2 linked regions of the Drosophila melanogaster genome follow. The protein of the gene in region 1 purifies or fractionates together with the protein of each later gene. This does not show direct contact. Each region holds a gene or a part of one and is shown on either strand. Other genes may lie near its edges.

The links.
Region 2: the proteins of Girdin (region 1) and Act5C purify together in Drosophila melanogaster (affinity purification with western blotting, with the first as the bait; one study listed by BioGRID). This does not show direct contact.

What each region holds. Positions count from the first base shown.
Region 1 is NT_037436.4:3,175,842-3,186,065, forward strand, and holds Girdin (girdin), read left to right. Parts: upstream 1-3,088; 5' UTR 3,089-3,511; coding exon 3,512-3,580; intron 3,581-4,102; coding exon 4,103-4,839; intron 4,840-4,900; coding exon 4,901-5,179; intron 5,180-5,244; coding exon 5,245-7,303; intron 7,304-7,358; coding exon 7,359-7,597; intron 7,598-7,657; coding exon 7,658-7,733; intron 7,734-7,794; coding exon 7,795-7,958; intron 7,959-8,091; coding exon 8,092-8,196; intron 8,197-8,407; coding exon 8,408-8,825; 3' UTR 8,826-9,446; downstream 9,447-10,224. Other genes in the region: MnM (myomesin and myosin binding protein), read right to left, coding at 1-1,004, 1,065-1,828, 2,360-2,438; CG42494 (uncharacterized protein), read left to right, coding at 9,555-9,581, 9,640-9,736, 9,793-10,111, 10,171-10,224.
Region 2 is NC_004354.4:5,897,931-5,907,129, forward strand, and holds Act5C (actin 5C), read left to right. Parts: upstream 1-2,930; 5' UTR 2,931-3,083; intron 3,084-4,051; exon of another isoform or gene 4,052-4,166; intron 4,167-4,759; 5' UTR 4,760-4,767; coding exon 4,768-5,898; 3' UTR 5,899-7,469; downstream 7,470-9,199. Other genes in the region: CG4020 (uncharacterized protein), read left to right, coding at 8,027-8,081, 8,148-8,433, 8,502-8,738, 8,793-9,199. UniProt on the Drosophila melanogaster protein: Actins are highly conserved proteins that are involved in various types of cell motility and are ubiquitously expressed in all eukaryotic cells.

The DNA.
Region 1 (10,224 bases):
GGTTGTCTCTTGTTGGGTGGACTTAAGCTTCTCTTCGGGTTGGGTGATGCCTTATCCGGCGTTTCCATGGGTGGAGTAGGCAATGGCTGTGGCTTTGGCTGCACTGGTGACCTATCTTTAGGGGCTCCAGAGGGTTTCGGATTGAAAAGTTTCAAGGGAGATGTAGCTGGAGTCCTTGGTGCCTTGGGGGATGGTACAGACTTGTCCAGCGGTGCCAGTGTTGTGGTCACCAGGGTGAGGTTAAGCTTTGGATTGGAACTATCTGTCGTGGGTTTATTAGCCGAATCGGCGCTATTAAGCGAAGGACTCTTGCGCACGTCCATCTTTAGAGCATGATCCGAAGTTCCGTAGGACATTTCGTGGGTCAGTTGCTCGTTGTCTATGAGCTGAGGCTTCGGCTTCCGCTTCGCACTGGGCGACTGTTTGGGTGACATGCCCGTGGAGGCATCTGCTTGAGGCCGTGGAGGAGATAAAGTCTTCCTGCGCGGTGGCACCTGCATCCCTCCAGCTCCTGTCTTGGGCTTGTCCTTCTCATCTCCGGCTATCCTTGTAGCTGATTTCGGTTTGGTGATTCCCCGCTTGGGATCCGGGATGAAGAGCAGCTCCGATTCACCCGACGGTTCGCTCAGGCCATATGGATTTTCTGCCTTTACACGAAATTTGTACTCGGAACCCTCTATCAGATCGTGAAGTGTGGTGCTCAGTGCCCGAGTGGTGGCCGCCTTCAGCCAGACGTTCCAGCCCACTCGGAAATATTCAACTATGTAGTTGCCAATCTTACAGCCTCCGTCGTCGAGTGGAGCCGTCCAGGAAAGAGTGGCGGACTTGCCAAAGGACATATTCAGCTTGGGAGTACCCGGTGGATTGGGCCTGGCTGTCACTGTAACCAAAAAGGAGGTACTGTCCTCACCCAATCGATTCCAAGCTTTCACCATATACTCGCCGCGATCTTCTCGAAGCACATTGTCGATCTTAAGCAGGGAGTTCTTCTCCGTGTTGGAGACCTGCAATGGGAAGCGAGTTACTTATGCAGTGGGTGAAAAAAGACCGGTAAGATGACCCACCTCAAAGCGTCCACCCGGAGCAATGACCTCGCCCTCATGAAGCCACGTAATAGCGGGCGGTGGCTGTCCAGCCACGCCAACCTTAAGGCGCAACACTTCGTCCGCCTCAACAATCAGTCCATCCTCGTAGGTGCGGGGTAATCGGATCTTGGGAGGAGCCTGCACCATCAACCTTGCCTTGGTAATCACATGTCCCGCTCGATTGGTGGCCGTGCATTTTATCTCGCCCTCGTCGGTCAGCGCCACTTGGTGGATCACCAGGACACTGGCCTCGTTGTCGTTGACGATCTTTGTGCGCCGACTGCTGAAGATCTCGTAGCCGTCCTTGAACCAGTTAATCTCCGGCGGCGGTTCGCCAAGAATGCGGACGCGGAACTCGATTCGCTCGTCTTCCACGGCATTCGTGTCCACCAGTTCGTCGATGAACCGGGGCACGGTTATGGCATTTCGCTGCAGCGTCACCGTCAGCGGATCAGATAGCTCGCTGGCATCGGATCGCCCCACAATGTTCTCAGCAAAGCAACGAAACTGGTAACGCCATCCCGGCTCCAGTCCACTGATGCACACATCGCAGCGGTCCACGGGAGTGGGCGTGGCTCTCACCCAGTGGGGTGACCCCATGCGCCTGTGCTCTACCGTATAGCCAGTGATGGGTGAACCTCCATCGTGGAGTGGCCGATCCCAGCGCAGGTTCACCACGTCCGGTTGCTGCTCCGGTAGTGCCACTGGCGTCAGGATGGGTCGGCCAGGCGGAGAAGGTCGCTCTGATTGGGAAACAAATATAATGCAATTTAAGGATTAAAAGATCTAAAAATCTTCTACGATGCGAGAAAAAAAGTTAAACTTTAAAGGAAATAGAGAAATATTTGATTTTTTAATTAAGATAACCTACGATTTATTCCTAAATATAAGTTGCATAGTTTTAGAGAATCAATTTCGATTCACAAAGATTGCATTGCTAAGTTATTACGGTGTGGGTGACTTTCCTGTCCCAGCTCCATATTGTAGCCCTTAAAGGGCTTTAGAAATTATGCACCTACAAAAGATTCTATCTCAGCATAATGATTCTTCCGCTTCTCAAACGACAACATTACTTTGACGTTGCGAGATTTTGGGGCCAAACAGACGAACACGGCAACCACTGAGTGTGCGAGTGGCTAAAAATAGACCCATTTCTAGCGCTCCCACCAGCCAGACAGCTATGTGGGGCCTCCTCTGATATCTTGAAATTCGGGTAGGAATTGTACTGGGACTGGGACCCTGATGGTATATGGAGTTACTACTTTTCTACTTGCCTGCGGACTTCCAGTGGACATTCTTCTTGGGGCGACCGCCTTGTGGATGCGTGTGCAGCTTTCCCGGCTGATTTCCCATTTCGAGATATTTAGATATTTAACCTATTTGCAATATTGTGCTTGCCTATACAGAGGATCTATATATAGACAGTCGAAATTAACTTAACTTAACCCGTCGTTTTCGAATCGCCAATAACAACACTTTGCACTCCAACTATTTCAACTTCAGGTCGGTTAGTTTCTAGTAATGTAACTTTCGTAGCGTTCGCAGGCTTTTGTTTGCAAGCGTTGCCATTTTTGCGGCGCGTTAAATAATCCGTTCCGTTCGGTTCGTCAGCCCAGCATCCTCCTCCTCATCCACCGATCCACGAAAGCTTTCTGCTCTCTTTCAAATTTGAATTCTGATGGGCTCGACAGCAGTTATCGACATCGATAGGAGCTGCAATCGGTTAGCAAGTGACCTACCTTCTTTCTGGCTACTTTTCAGGAACTTCGTTTGACAGATAACCCTTAATTAACCACAACAAGGCTGATCACATTGTAAAATAAGTCTCATTTACAATGCATTTAGATACCATCAACGATAGCATCGATTCATTCGATAAGCTTTAGCATCATTCAAAGTCAATTAACTATCTCTGTGATTTGTGGAATTTAGCTATTTCTAGCTAGTTAGCTACTTGTCGCAAAGTTCCATCACTAGACCCCTCCACCGCATTCGATAGTTGGCAGCATTAGCGAAGTGTCATCACCGGCACAAATTATGCTTTTTTTCCAACAGTCCAGTCTTCCCAAAAATATTTCGCTAATTTTTTAGAGTGCTGCCTTGTAGTGTTCCTTGTTGCTTAGTTTGTTAAAGCCAATTTAATCCGCGAAGTGCTCTCCAACGTATTTTAGTGTTGTTACAAACTGTGATCTTGCGACTTGCCTGCATGTGCAATGTGAAAATGCCCCGTCCTTGGCATAAATTTCGGGAGGCTGTTGTTGGACTTTACTTCTTGAAAAAATAGAAACTATCTCGCCCAGCATCACAGTTTGGAGGAGCCGCAGCTGTTCCTTTGCGACAGGTGCAGCGGCACAAACTCACACACTCATACATACCTGCACTTACCTATTCCGCCCGTCCGTCCAATAACAATAACAACACAAACAATGGCTGGCACTGCGACCGCGACGCCAATGGAAATTGATGAGTTTGTTAATTCGTCCATAATTTCTTGGGTGAGTAGAGTACTGCGGGCGTTATGGATAAACATGATCGACATTTGCATCGCCAGTGGGCCTATGTGCTTGGCATAAATAATTCAAGTGTTCGATTGCCAAGCGCTCGCAAATGGAAAAGGCGAAAACAACAACAAAGTCGTGAGAACAACCTGCTTACACACACACAGCTGAGGTCAACGAAATAGAATCATACGTTACAGGGAAACTCCAAAAAACGAATAATTTTATATATCCAAAGCCTTAGCTTCGTTAAATTAATTCCGTTACGACGAAAGCAGGTGTATCGTATTAATTTATAATCATATCAATCATATGTATCATACTCCACTTCGAGCTCTTATTTTTTTGACCCAAACTGTTTGTCGCCAAAGAACCAAGGTCATTGTAACTTGCTCAAGACTGCTAGCGGTACAATAAGAATGGAGGAGGAGCGTAATGAGCTCTTGTCCAGCTAATAAACATATTCGCGCTCGCTTTGTTGGATTCCGTATCTAAAACTGGTATTTTCTTCCTTTACAGCTGGAATCATGTCTGCCACGTGCCGAGCTTCTCGCCGGATACACCTCCCTGCTGGATGGCCACATAATTCACAGCGTCTGGCTGCAAATCGACCCCGAGCCGCAAAATAATCCCAGCGAGCTGAACGATCTTAACGGGAAATCTCTCAGCATTGCGAGGGCCAAGAACTTCGAGTGCGTCGTGAGGAATCTAAAGTCTTTCTTTGAGGAGGAGCTTGGTCAAACCATACTGGTCCTACCCGATGCCTTCACCCTGGGTCATCATCCGGAGAGTAAGAACGGGCTCGAACAGATGAAGACCTTGCTGACCCTGTTGCTCGGCGCAGCTGTGCAATGTCCCAACAAGGAGCTATTTATTGCTCGCATCAAGGAGCTGGACTTAGAAACGCAACACGCTATTGTTGGACTGATCAAACAAGTGACCGACAGCCATAGTTTGGTGCTCACCGAGGACTCCTTGGAGCGACTTACGCCGCAGAGCATGTACACGCACATTTTGCGCCTGACCAAGGAGCGGGACGTCATGTATCTCAAGTGGATCGATTTGGCGTGCGTAGAGACCGAAATGACAGCCAGCGATAATTTGGTGGAATGTGGCCAAGGTGTCAGCGTTACACGTTCCCCTTCGAACGGAACTGCCACCTCGACACCTTCATCTTCTTCCAATTCGGAAAGCAATCACCTTGCCGTAGAATGTGCCGATCTGCGTTCGAAGAACCGCAAGCTGCGTCAGGAACTGTAAGACAAGCTATTATTTACTTATCCAATAATTATTCATACACCTTTTCCTTTCTTTAAGCGAGGAAAAGTCCGAGAATCTTTTGGAGCTACGTGAGGAGTTGGATGACAAGAAGGCTCGCTTTGACAAGCTGCGCCAGGAAAGCCAAGAATGGTTTACGGAGGCCAAGCGGGCATCTGCATATCGTGACGAGGTGGACATCCTCCGGGAACGGGCTGAAAGAGCTGATCGCCTGGAGGTGGAAGTTCAGAAGTACCGCGAGAAACTCGGAGACTCCGACTTTTACAAATCCCGCGTTGAGGAACTGCGGGAGGATAACCGTGTGCTGCTTGAATCCAAGTATATGAGCCAAACAAAATACCATTGAATGTTTTCTAACCTATAATACCCTTCCACCTTCTCAGGGAAATGCTGGAGGAGCAGTTGCAGCGTTACCGAAAAAGGTCTGAGCATGCCATCTCTCTGGAATCCGAGATTATTAAATACAAACAGAAGATAAACGACATGGCTCTCGAACGGGACGTGGATCGCTCCAAGCTAGAAGAGTTGCTGGAGGAGAACTCGCAACTGCAACTGGTAGCCAGGAATCTCAACTCCACGATGGATTTGGATAAATCCTTTTCCGAAAACGAAGACGATTGCAACTCAGGCGACAATAGTCTTTCGGAACAGCTAACGAACAATGCTCAGACCCGTGCACTCAAGCTCGAGCTGGAGAACCGTCGTTTGACCGCCGCTCTGGAACAATTAAAAGAGAGTAGCTTCCACGAATCCACCAGCAAGATGCTAGAACTGGAAAAGGAGAAGAAAAAGCTGTCTCTAAAAATCGAACAGATGCAAGAAAACATCAATCGTCTGACTCAGCAGAATGTCGAACTGGAAGGGGTCTTTAAAAATGCCCTGGAGGAGAACAAAAAGTTACAGGATGCCGTGGATAATCGCCAAAAAAGCTACGATCGACAGAGCCTGGAACGCGAAGCTGACCGTCAAAAGCTTTCTGATGCCGAGCAGCATGTCGAAACCTTAAACAAAGAAAAGCAACGTATCCAAACCCTGAACGAAAGCATTCAGCGAAGAGCCGACGATCTTGAACGGTTGGCGGAGAGCAAGACAAAGGAACTAGAGCAATACCTGGAAAAATCAAGGCAATACGAGCTTACTAAACAGAAGCTCTATGAGATCGAAGCAAGGGTCTCCACGTACGAACGCGAAAACGCCAGCCTGCTCAAGGAAGTGTCCAAACTCAAGGAGGGCAGCGAGCAAAAGTCTGTGCAGCTGGATGACAGTATTAATCGGCTCGATGTCCAGAGCAAAGAACTACAAAAGCTGGGCAAAGCACTTGAGGATTCGGAGCAAGTGCATCAAAAGCTTGTGGAACTGGAGAAGCAAAACCAAGAGCTAGCTTCACAGCGCATCATTGATCAAGAGATGATAAGTACTCTTCGAAACGACTTGGTGACTGGTACTCTCGTAACGAAGAAAGTGCGAAACAACTTGGAGAAACTAGGATTGGCGGACGAAGAGCCCGGTGAGCTCAATGTGGAGCATGTGGTGGAGAAGTTGGTGCGCAACCCGGAGACTTTTAAAACGGTTCGCGAGATAATGCTAAACGTGACCCGAGAGCAGCTGGAGGAGGAGGAACGAGAAGGTGGCGTCAAGTCCGACATGTGTGTGCTATGCCACCGTCAGGAGATCTTTACGGTGGAAAAGAACATTGAACTCGCGGCTACTCCAGCTCCTGCACCAGCGCAACCATCTTCGCAGGAACTTCGCTTCGAACACAAGGTACGTCTAAGTCCAGCACGAGAATCAGCAGAGCTGACCCGTATTAAGGATTCCAACACTCAGCTTCAGACTGAGAATGCTCGGCTCAGCGTGGACGTGGCTGCGCTGGGCTCGCAAATAACTTCGCTGAACACCCAGCATGTAGCCCTACAGCTGGCAAACTCCCAGTTGGCTGCCGAAAAAGATTCGCTGCTCAAAGAGATCGATTCACTGCAGCAGGAGCACAAGCATGCTTTGCAGGATCAGGTTACGTTGCAATGCCTGCATGATCAACTCTCCGCGGAGTACGAGTCTCTGAACAAGGACAAGGAGCAGCTAAAGGCTGCAGTGCGGGACTTGCGTCAGGAGCTGCGAGATACCCGTGAACAGCAGTCGGCATTGGAGCAACGCATTGAGGAGTTGACTATTCAGAACAGCAACATGAAAACATGCAGCGAGGATCTGTCAATCCTGCGTACGGAGCACTCCAAACTGACAGACGACTTCCGCAATCTGTTCGCCACCAGCGATCGCTTCAAGAACGAATACAAAAACATCCAGGAGCAGTACAAGATGGTACGCATGGAGCACTCCAGCCTTAAGCTACAAAACACAGAACTCTCCGGCGAGCTAAATGCTAAGAGCGATCAGGTCCGTTGCCTACAGATGGAGTATAGCAAGGTTCAGCAGCGTTGTGAGGTGAGTTAAAAAGTGTCAAGATATAATATTCTATTAATATTCTTTTTGCATACAGATGTTGATACAAAACAATGCTGAACTGGACTCGGAGCGCAAGGCTCTGATGGACAACGTGTCCCAATTGCTCTCTCAATATCAGGAACTATTGGCCATATCCCTGGAGGACAAAAAGCACTTCCATGAGGAGGAGAAGAACTACACCGAACGGGTGCACAGCCTCAAGCGGCAGAAGGAAAAACTGGAGGAGAAAATTATGGAGCATTACAAGAAGTCAGAAACCACAGTGCACAAGAAGTAAATAATATAACCATACAAAAATATATTTGTTATTAAGCCAATCACTGTAAATTTCAGAAAACCATTTGCCAGCATGCTGGTTAGAAGAGTGAAGAAGGCTAGCTCGGATCTAATGAACAAGGTGCCCAGTCGAGTAAGTTTACTCACAACTAGATGTAAAGAAACTTAACATAAAAATATTTTTTTTTTTTCAGAACCGTCGATCTTGGGTAGATGACGCCCGTACCAATTCCCAGTTCGTGATCGGTTCCGAGTCAGGCGGCAATGAGTCGGATAATAGCAATGAGGAGCCACTGTCCATTGCCTCCGACACGCACCTGCTCCAGAGGAATGTCCCGCTCCGCCAGAGTCTGCAGCGGTAAGCCATTCAGTTGGGTTGGAAATTGATGTTTTTTTTAGATTTTTGGGTTCACGGTATTTGTTCTTTTTACATGTATTATACACAACTCGACATTCGCACCAAACAAACACTGTACATTATGTCGGAGTAGGGATTTGCTGGATAACTCGATCCAACGCGGCGGTGCCGTGCGCAGTAGCCTGCAGGCTCAGAAACGTACGGATTTGAATAACTCACGTAGAAATAGCGTGCACGGGTATGCGCTTTTGATGTTTAACATTCATTCTACCCCATTAAAACTTGCCAATTGAAACAGATCGAAGTCTGTTTCGAGGCTTCAATTGACCACTATTAATCCTTATTCCATCTTTCCCCTTGCACAATGCGTATTTCCCTTCGTTGTCGCTCCCCACCTGTGTTTAAAAAAGTGCATTCATCTAGTTACTGATAAATCATTTGCTTCGCAGCAGTCTTGAAGCGCCAGACGTGACGGGCAGCAGTCTGACTCTCGGAACGGCCGGTTCCAGACGCACCGTTTATCTTATCGATGAGCACCAAAAGCTTCCCGATGGCTCTACTCCCGGCGCCACACAGTCACAGTCTGTTGGCGGCAGTGGCTCCGTCAACGCCGCACCTCCTACACCCGCAGAACCTCAGACGCCTCAGAAGAGTACCGAAAACAATGCCCCGGTGGGCCCAGCTACGTTTCTCATGTACAACCGAATAAACACCACGATCGGAGGAGCCTCGAACAGCGGGGACCAGAGCCCTCTGCTGCAGGCCAGCGGCAGCGTCTCGGGAACGACCATGCAGGATGACAAGTCGGCAAGGAAGCGGACCGAAGACAAGAGCAATAGCATCTGGTATGAGTACGGCTGCGTCTAGATCATTCGAACAGTATACGTCCACAACGTGAACTCGAACATAATGCATTTGCTGACGAAGTATTATTTCGTTTTAGAAATTAACGAATTTATTTTTAAACGCATTAGAACATCGATGTTGCCTTAAGCAAGTTACATATGTAAGTGTGAAGTGCTGCTTAAACCGCTATGATTTGCCTTAAGAAATATTTTACAATTAGACTAGTACATAGTACATACTATAGTTTGTACCTATTTATGCAATCTAAAAACTCCACAAGACTACGCGACAACTATGCGAACATATAACTATCCAGTATACACCCCTATATACACAAAACTATAAAAAAATATGTTAAATATTAGCTGTACCGGCCTCAATGTACGTCCTAAGCGAAAGGCTTTCTTTTTCGCAGATAAGACAAGATATTTAAAAATAGTATTTATATCCGTTCATTTGGTGTTTTGTTAACTCGACTCGACTCTATGTATTCCTAGATATGTTGTAAACCACACTCGTACTCTGCTATCAGCTAACGAACGCGCCTTCAATTTGTGAATATATTTTTATAAATTACTTGTAGCCTTGTACTATTTATTGACGCAAAGCCTAACACCGCAATAAAACTAAGCAAACATACAGAAAATATCTCACTTTTTCGGCAAGTCTCTAAAGATAACCAAAGATACATATAAGGTGATCCGTTTGTCCCCAGTATTTTAGATTGAAAGGCGACTGGAGACAAAAAAGATGTGGCTAAAGGCGCTTGTTCTACTGGTAACTACTACAAACTGTGCGCACTTCGGGCTAATAATCACTTTTTAATAAACTTAAGCTTTCGATTCGATATTTGGCGGCCACGTGCAATGTGTGTCAAAGTGATAGCAATGTCGCTTGTCACAGTGAAACCACTTTTTCCATCTGCTATGACGGTCTGTAAATTTTCTTTAAAAACAAGGGGATTGTGTGACAACGTTTTAATTTCCAGGAGTTCCATCGTATGATCTCTTGCCATGTCCAAAGGACTTTTATTGCACGGATGGCTTTTACACTTGCTATCAAAATGCTAATCCGGTTTGCAAAACAGAGGAGGACACTTCCACCACCGAGATCCAGACAACCAGTACAACCACTCCTAGCCCCATTACCACGACAACCACTAAGAACCCAACTACCACTGCTACCCCAATTACCACAACAACCACTGAGATCACGACTACAGAAGCTCCGTGGAATGCCGACGATATCTGTCAGCAATACACTAAAAACACCTTTTTCGAAAACGAAGATGATCCCACCTGCACCACGTGAATACCCTACTGCTGAAAATTGTTTTCGATGCTAGACTAAAGAGTTCATTTTTCAGTTTTATAACCTGTACAGTTGATAGCGACGGAACGCATTCGACAAAAGTCACTTC
Region 2 (9,199 bases), on another chromosome or scaffold:
TTTTGGAGAAAGGTCGTTGATCATGGCTAAATGTTGTTGCTTTTCGCTTAATAGCGGTCTCAAAGTCAACATCAACGCGCTGTTTTTGGCCATTTCAGTATTTCTAGTTTCGATACCCCTCACCGCCGTCCCTCCGTCGGATTCCAGCGCTTTTTCGAACTGTTTCCCTTCAAAAACAGCTTTTTTTTCTTGAATTCAGTGGCGCAAGGTTAAAAGTGCCGAAAACCGAAGCCATTGGCCCGGGGAAATTTCTGCGAGTTTTTTCATCGCCTTGCCAAAAAAAAAAAAAAACAAAAAACAAACGATCGAGCAACGAACTTGAGAGAAGCAAATAGAGCCAAAAAAAAGGTTATGATTTTGTTCCAAAGAATGTTCCATAGAATTCTATATTCTAAAAACACAAATGATACTTCTAAAAAAAAATCATATTCATAAATGACTCTTTCCATGAATGGCATCAACTCTGAATCAAATCTTTGCAGATGCACCTACTTCTCATTTCCACTGTCACATCATTTTTCCAGATCTCGCTGCCTGTTATGTGGCCCACAAACCAAGACACGTTTTATGGCCATTAAAGCTGGCTGATCGTCGCCAAACACCAAATACATAATGAATATGTACACATTCGAGAAAGAAGCGATCAAAGAAGCGTCTTCGGGCGGAGTAGGAGAATGCGGAGGAGAAGGAGAACGAGCTGATCTAGTATCTCTCCACAATCCAATGCCAACTGACCAACTGGCCATATTCGGAGCAATTTGAAGCCAATTTCCATCGCCTGGCGATCGCTCCATTCTTGGCTATATGTTTTTCACCGTTACCCGGGGCCATTTTCAAAGACTCGTCGGCAAGATAAGATTGTGTCACTCGCTGTCTCTCTTCATTTGTCGAAGAATGCTGAGGAATTTCGCGATGACGTCGGCGAGTATTTTGAAGAATGAGAATAATTTGTATTTATACGAAAATCAGTTAGTGGAATTTTCTACAAAAACATGTTATCTATAGATAATTTTGTTGCAAAATATGTTGACTATGACAAAGAACTGGAATTAAGTGGCATATTTTGCATTGCTTTCCGATAATAGTTGTATTTTTATAAAGTAAAGCGTTTGTAAAATAAATACCTTTAATGTATTCTCATTTTCTTATGTATTTATAATGGCAATGATGATACTGATGATATTTTAAGATGATGCCAGACCAAAAGGCTTGAATTTCTGCGTCTTTTGCCGAACGCAGTGCATGTGCAATTGTTGTTTTTTGGAATATTCAATTTTCGGACTGTCCGCTTTGATTTCAGTTTCTTGGCTTATTCAAAAAGCAAAGTAAAGCCAAAAAAGCGAGATGGCAATACCAAATGCGGCAAAACGGTAGTGGAAGGAAAGGGGTGCGGGGCAGCGGAAGGAAGGGTGGGGCGGGGCGTGGCGGGGTCTGTGGCTGGGCGCGACGTCACCGACGTTGGAGCCACTCCTTTGACCATGTGTGCGTGTGTGTATTATTCGTGTCTCGCCACTCGCCGGTTGTTTTTTTCTTTTTATGCTGCGCTCTCTCTAGCGCCATCTCGCTTACGCATGCTCAACGCACCGCATGTTGCCGTTTCCTTTTATGCGTCATTTTGGCTCGAAATAGGCAATTATTTAAACAAAGATTAGTCAACGAAAACGCTAAAATAAATAAGTCTACAATATGGTTACTTATTGCCATGTGTGTGCAGCCAACGATAGCAACAAAAGCAACAACACAGGTGGCTTTCCCTCTTTCACTTTTTGTTTGCAAGCCGCGTGCGAGCAAGACGGCACGACCGGCAAACGCAATTACGCTGACAAAGAGCAGACGAAGTTTTGGCGAAAAACATCAAGGCGCCTGATACGAATGCATTTGCAATAACAATTGCGATATTTAATATTGTTTATGAAGCTGTTTGACTTCAAAACACACAAAAAAAAAAATAAAACAAATTATTTGAAAGAGAATTAGGAATCGGACGCTTATCGTTAGGGTAACAACAAGAAATGCTTACTGAGTCACAGCCTCTGGAAAACTGCCGCAAGCCAGAGAGAGAGAGAAAAAGAGGGAGAGCAGCTTAGACCGCATGTGCTTGTGTGTGAGGCGTCTCTCTCTTCGTCTCTGTTGCGCAAACGCATAGACTGCACTGAAAAAATCGATTACCTATTTTTTATGAATGAATATTTGCACTATTACTATTCAAAACTATTAAGATAGCAATCACATTCAATAGCCAAATACTATACCACCTGAGCGATGCAACGAAATGATCAATTTGAGCAAAAATGCTGCATATTTAGGACGGCATCATTATAGAAATGCTTCTTGCTGTGTACTTTTCTCTCGTCTGGCAGCTGTTTCGCCGTTATTGTTAAAACCGGCTTAAGTTAGGTGTGTTTTCTACGACTAGTGAATGCCCTACTAGAAGATGTGTGTTGCACAAAATGTCCCTGGAATAACCAATTTGAAGTGCAGATAGCAGTAAACGTAAGCTAATATGAATATTATTTAACTGTAATGTTTTAATATCGCTGGACATTACTAATAAACCCACTATAAACACATGTACATATGTATGTTTTGGCATACAATGAGTAGTTGGGGAAAAAATGTGTAAAAGCACCGTGACCATCACAGCATAAAGATAACCAGCTGAAGTATCGAATATGAGTAACCCCCAAATTGAATCACATGCCGCAACTGATAGGACCCATGGAAGTACACTCTTCATGGCGATATACAAGACACACACAAGCACGAACACCCAGTTGCGGAGGAAATTCTCCGTAAATGAAAACCCAATCGGCGAACAATTCATACCCATATATGGTAAAAGTTTTGAACGCGACTTGAGAGCGGAGAGCATTGCGGCTGATAAGGTTTTAGCGCTAAGCGGGCTTTATAAAACGGGCTGCGGGACCAGTTTTCATATCACTACCGTTTGAGTTCTTGTGCTGTGTGGATACTCCTCCCGACACAAAGCCGCTCCATCAGCCAGCAGTCGTCTAATCCAGAGACACCAAACCGAAAGACTTAATTTATATTTATTTAATTAATTTTAATAAAACACACCAAATGTAAGTAGCTTTCCCCTTCCCAACAACAAAACACCATCGAACCACTCCCACCAAGAAAAAGCAATAATCGAGAAAAGCCGCGGAAAATGTGTGATTTTTTTTGTAAACAAAACATTTTTTTATGTGCCAGTGCTGAAAGTGATCAAAAAATACTAGCCACGAGCTAAAGAGTTATTGTATTGACCAAAACTCCAAAAATACCCAAGTTTGGCCCTAAATTGTCAATCAAAATACCAATAGGTCGAAAGACATCAAAATTAACAAAACCAGGGTTTCAAATACCATAACTCAAGAATCAGGATTACAACTGCAGATTTCAGGATATATACATACAAATTATACGAAATTATAAAAACCAAAGCAATTCAATAGCCCCAACTCAAATGTTAGGATCTAATATAGTGTTTAAAGCCAAGCTCGCTGATGTGGGCGTGTCACGATTTCACCCAAAGATATGCCAAATTACGAATTGCAAATCAATTCGCCAACACTTTCTTTTTTTCCCACGCCCTAAAACACCAGATCATCCATAAATGTACATACATACAGTATATGCATATTATAATCTGTAAAACTAGATCAGGTTCTTGAAAATAGTGACGTAGGCAGCCGTTTTGGCTGAAGCAGAAATTTTTGCCGGTTTTTCAAAGTTGTAGTTGCAAAAATGGAGAAAACCTTCGAGCATTCGTTCATATACACACACTCACGCGCAAAATAACGAGAGAGAGTGTATGTGTGTGTGAGAGAGCGAAAGCCAGACGACGGTTTGCTTTTCGCCTCGAAACATGACCATATATGGTCACAAAACTTGGCCGCCGCAATTCAACACACCAGCGCTCTCCTTCGCACCCATAGCGACCATGGCGCGGAGCGAGCGAGATGGCGAGAGCGAGCGACGCCTATGGCGACGTCGACGCAGGCAGCGATTGAAAAACGCAGTTAACTGGCATTCAACATTCACCAGCCACTTTCAGTCGGTTTATTCCAGTCATTCCTTTCAAACCGTGCGGTCGCTTAGCTCAGCCTCGCCACTTGCGTTTACAGTAGTTTTCACGCCTTGAATTTGTTAAATCGAACAAAAAGGTAAAGTTTAACTAGCTTTGAAAAGTTTCGTGGCTCTTAATTGTTAAATTTTCTAGAGTGCGTTTAGTGTTTTTTTTTTTTTTTATTTTGTAATGTTAATTTCGGGTTCCAATTCGAGTTTTAGGCAGCCGCCATTTTAAGGGCGCATACACACAGGCAACTGTGCTCTCTTTGCGGCTTTCTTTTGCACCGGCATTCGTTAAGTGTCGTCTAGAAGCTTCTCCCCTCCCTTTTCGGCATATTCGTATTGTGGTTTTAATTTTTCGGGGCGGGGCCTTCTATTTTGTAACTGTTCTTTTAATTTCTTATTACAATTCGATCGCAAGTGAAAATCAGTTTTCAATCGGAAAAGTATTTTTTTATGAAATTTTTTTTGTCCAAGATTAAAATTTTGTACTAAAAAAACGTACATTGCATTGAGTGATTTTTAATTGTACACGAAAAACAAGTTAGTTTGTTATGACAATTGTACTTTGGTAGACCAGCGCAGTCCAAGGAAACCACGCAAATTCTCAGTTTTTTTTTTGCCATTTCTACATTACCAAATAAGGTAACCAAAAACTAATGGGAAATCCGCATTCTTTCCATTGCAGCTTACAAAATGTGTGACGAAGAAGTTGCTGCTCTGGTTGTCGACAACGGCTCTGGCATGTGCAAGGCCGGATTTGCCGGAGACGATGCTCCCCGCGCCGTCTTCCCATCGATTGTGGGACGTCCCCGTCACCAGGGTGTGATGGTCGGCATGGGCCAGAAGGACTCGTACGTGGGTGATGAGGCGCAGAGCAAGCGTGGTATCCTCACCCTGAAGTACCCCATTGAGCACGGTATCGTGACCAACTGGGACGATATGGAGAAGATCTGGCACCACACCTTCTACAATGAGCTGCGTGTGGCACCCGAGGAGCACCCCGTGCTGCTGACCGAGGCCCCGCTGAACCCCAAGGCCAACCGTGAGAAGATGACCCAGATCATGTTCGAGACCTTCAACACACCCGCCATGTATGTGGCCATCCAGGCTGTGCTCTCGCTGTACGCCTCCGGTCGTACCACCGGTATCGTTCTGGACTCCGGCGATGGTGTCTCCCACACCGTGCCCATCTACGAGGGTTATGCCCTTCCCCATGCCATCCTGCGTCTGGATCTGGCTGGTCGCGATTTGACCGACTACCTGATGAAGATCCTGACCGAGCGCGGTTACTCTTTCACCACCACCGCTGAGCGTGAAATCGTCCGTGACATCAAGGAGAAGCTGTGCTATGTTGCCCTCGACTTTGAGCAGGAGATGGCCACCGCTGCCAGCAGCTCCTCGTTGGAGAAGTCCTACGAGCTGCCCGACGGACAGGTGATCACCATCGGCAACGAGCGTTTCCGCTGCCCCGAGGCCCTGTTCCAGCCCTCGTTCTTGGGAATGGAGGCTTGCGGCATCCACGAGACCACCTACAACTCCATCATGAAGTGTGATGTGGATATCCGTAAGGATCTGTATGCCAACACCGTGCTGTCCGGTGGCACCACCATGTACCCTGGCATCGCCGACCGTATGCAGAAGGAGATCACCGCCCTGGCACCGTCGACCATGAAGATCAAGATCATTGCCCCGCCAGAGCGCAAGTACTCTGTCTGGATCGGTGGCTCCATCCTGGCTTCGCTGTCCACCTTCCAGCAGATGTGGATCTCCAAGCAGGAGTACGACGAGTCCGGCCCCTCCATTGTGCACCGCAAGTGCTTCTAAGAAGGATCGCTTGTCTGGGCAAGAGGATCAGGATCGGGATGGTCTTGATTCTGCTGGAGGAGGAGGAGGAGAAGTCGAGGAAGCAGCAGCGAAAGTGCAAGTGCGAGTGGTGGAAGTTTGGAGTGCAGCACAACAAAATCAACAACAACACCAACTACAAGATGAAAAGAGCGGAACCACCTGCACACCATCATCATTATCATCATCGTTTTGGGCGCATGTTGTGTGGTTCCAGCGTATTAATATAATTAATTTATTCCACATGAGATATGATATGATATACTATGTATTTTTTGTTTTTTTTTTATTTGTAAACCTTTAATATAACAAGAACTACAAAAAATGAAAATGAGCGAAAATGCATATTCTGCCATTCCACACACACACCAACAACACCCAACACACGCACACCCACAAGCTTACACACACACATTCGCGGCATGACAAGGACATCAAGATAAAGAAGAACTTAAAGAAGATATTTCCCAAAGCGCAAAAAGAACACACACACATTGCAAAACACAAACAACACACTAGCGTTTTGTACAATTCGTCAGCAACCTTATGTATTATTTTTTAATTATGATGTAATTATAAACAAAGTGAAACAAAAATATGAAAACAAAAAGGAAAATCAAATCTGTCTTCTCTTTCTCCCGCTCTCCTCGCTCTCTGCTGCTAACCTCGCCCTCTCCTCTCTCATCTTTTTGTCTGTCTCTCTTCCACATTTTTGCCGGCCGGCAAAATAATAACCCACACACACTCACACTTGGCTGCAGTTTCGCGTGCGATATTCACACACATTCAAGCATACAAGCATACATACATATGTATTTTTTTTTTATTTGTACACTTTTCTAATTGCATGCGTATCGATTGATAAGTTTACGCCTGAAAATGTTAATTAAAATGTGAAAATGCAACTGAAAAACTGATGAAATGAAACAACAACAAGCGAACAATTTGCTACATGTGTATTGTCTAACAACCGTTACTGCAACGGTTGCTTCGGAAAAGGGTGAAGAGGAAGAGGGCACGAGGTCGACGAACTAAGGCTGCGACGACAAGCGGCTGTCTCGCTCGCACGCACGCACGCATGCGGGCTAATGATGCGATTAAAGTGCCGTTTTAAATGGCCAAGATCCAAATAAAAGTCGAGATAATAAGGCAAACACGCTAACACAAATCGCTGGCATAGTTTCATCCGCCAGTTTGGCCAAAAGCAGCGGCTGCAAGCGCCGTTTATCCGGTTTTTCCCAAACATTTTCCATTCATGCGGCCAAAGAGGAGGAGCACCCATCTTTCCATCTTTCTCTGACTCGCACGGGCAATGCAGTGCACCGGAAAGAAAGTGGTGCGAATTGGGATTTATAGACTTACTTTATAGACTTACACGTACAAATATACATAGATATTATATTATTTAAATACATTTTTATTATATTGCTTATATATTAGTTCGACTTCGATATCATTTCTGCCAGTATAATTATGGGCTCTGCTTGATTTGGCGCTCGGATGCTACGGTAAAAGTTATCTTTCTGTGCTTTCTCCTTTGATTCTTGAGTTTCAACGGTTCCGTTTTTGTTGATCTCGTTCATCTTCTTCTTCTTGCGTTCTAGACGTTCTCCTTTGTTTTTTGTTCACAACGGATTTCGTAGCACCTTGAGCGGTTTAAATATACATACATATGTAATACATACATAAATACATATGTAGTTAGTGTTTTTTTTCGATATTCGTATGCCCAAATGTTCGAATAATTAGTAGGTCTCATTAAAAACATCACAAATTAAGAGTAAAGCAATAAAAATATAGAAATATGTAGTATAAAATAGTATTCTAGGACTAAGATTGGTCATACCTGCGGTTTCTATGTGAATATGATGCGATGTGTTGCTTCCCCACTATCTACAGGGTATCGCACTCTACGCTTACAAAGTATGAGCCTACCAACTGAATATTCAGCGATGTGATCCCTTTTGGCCAAGGGTCAGCAGCGCGATTGGCCGGATTTCAATATTCCCGCCTTGAGTCCGCCGTACTTCGCACAGAAGCACTTGGAGCAGCGACACGTGCGGATTGATATACGACATCGAAAACCCGGGAGACCAACAACCGAACCACCATGACCATACCGGAAGCTTTCGAGGATCAGGAAATATTCGTGACCGGCGCCTCCGGTGGGTATTTATGACTGCCTTTGCAGAATAAAGATTTAAAGAGAATGTATTGGTATCTCTGTGCAGGATTCGTGGGCAAAGCACTGATCGAAAAGCTGCTGCGCTCCTGTCCAAAACTGGGCCGCATCTATGTGCTGATGCGGCCCAAGAAGGGCCACACAATTGAGGAGCGCCTGCAGCTGCAGTGGGAATCGAGGTTGTATGAACGGCTGCGCAGAGAACAGCCCAATGCCCGCTCCAAACTGGTGGCCATAGCCGGGGATGTGGAGCAGCTGGGCCTGGGCATTGGCAGCGCGGATCTTGAGCGGCTGCGCAATGTCAACATTGTCTATCATTCGGCGGCCAGTGTGCGGTGAGTACATATGTACATATATACGATCCAGGTTAGGATATACAAATCAATAATACATCATCTTTTAGCTTCGATGATGCCCTGAGCACGGCCATACTACTGAACACCCGTGGCACCCACGAGCTGGTCAAGTTGGCCCTGGAGTGGCCCAAGCTGAAGGCATTCGTCCACGTGTCCACCACCTACTCGAATCCGGGAGTTCTTGAGGTGGAGGAGCGCGTCTATCCACCGTTGGCCGACTGGCGTACAACTATCAAATTGGCGGAGACCTACGACGCCGAGATTCTGGACATCTTCAATCTCAAGTGAGTAGTGGAGTTGAGTGGAAAATAAGATGCTATATAATATGCACCTTGCAGGTATGGTAACTTTCAGCCGAACACGTACACCTTCACCAAAAGTTTGGCCGAGCAGGTGGTCAATGAGTACAGGGACAGGCTGCCCATCTTCATCTTTCGGCCATCGATTGTGGTCTCCACCATTGAGGAACCCGTGCCCGGCTGGGCGGACAACTTCAATGGACCCACGGGACTGCTGGTGGCCTGCGGCGTGGGCATACTGCGCTCCCAGAACTGTGATCCCAATATTGTGGCCGATTTCGTGCCCGCCGATATTGTGGCCCGTACACTGATCACCTCGGTGTACAAGTTCATGGGTGAATCGAAATCGCGGGCCAAGGACAGCGATCTGTATGTGGTCAACTGTGCCACGGCGAATATATCGCCGATCACCATGGGCGAGGTGATCGATATCGGTAAGACGTTCA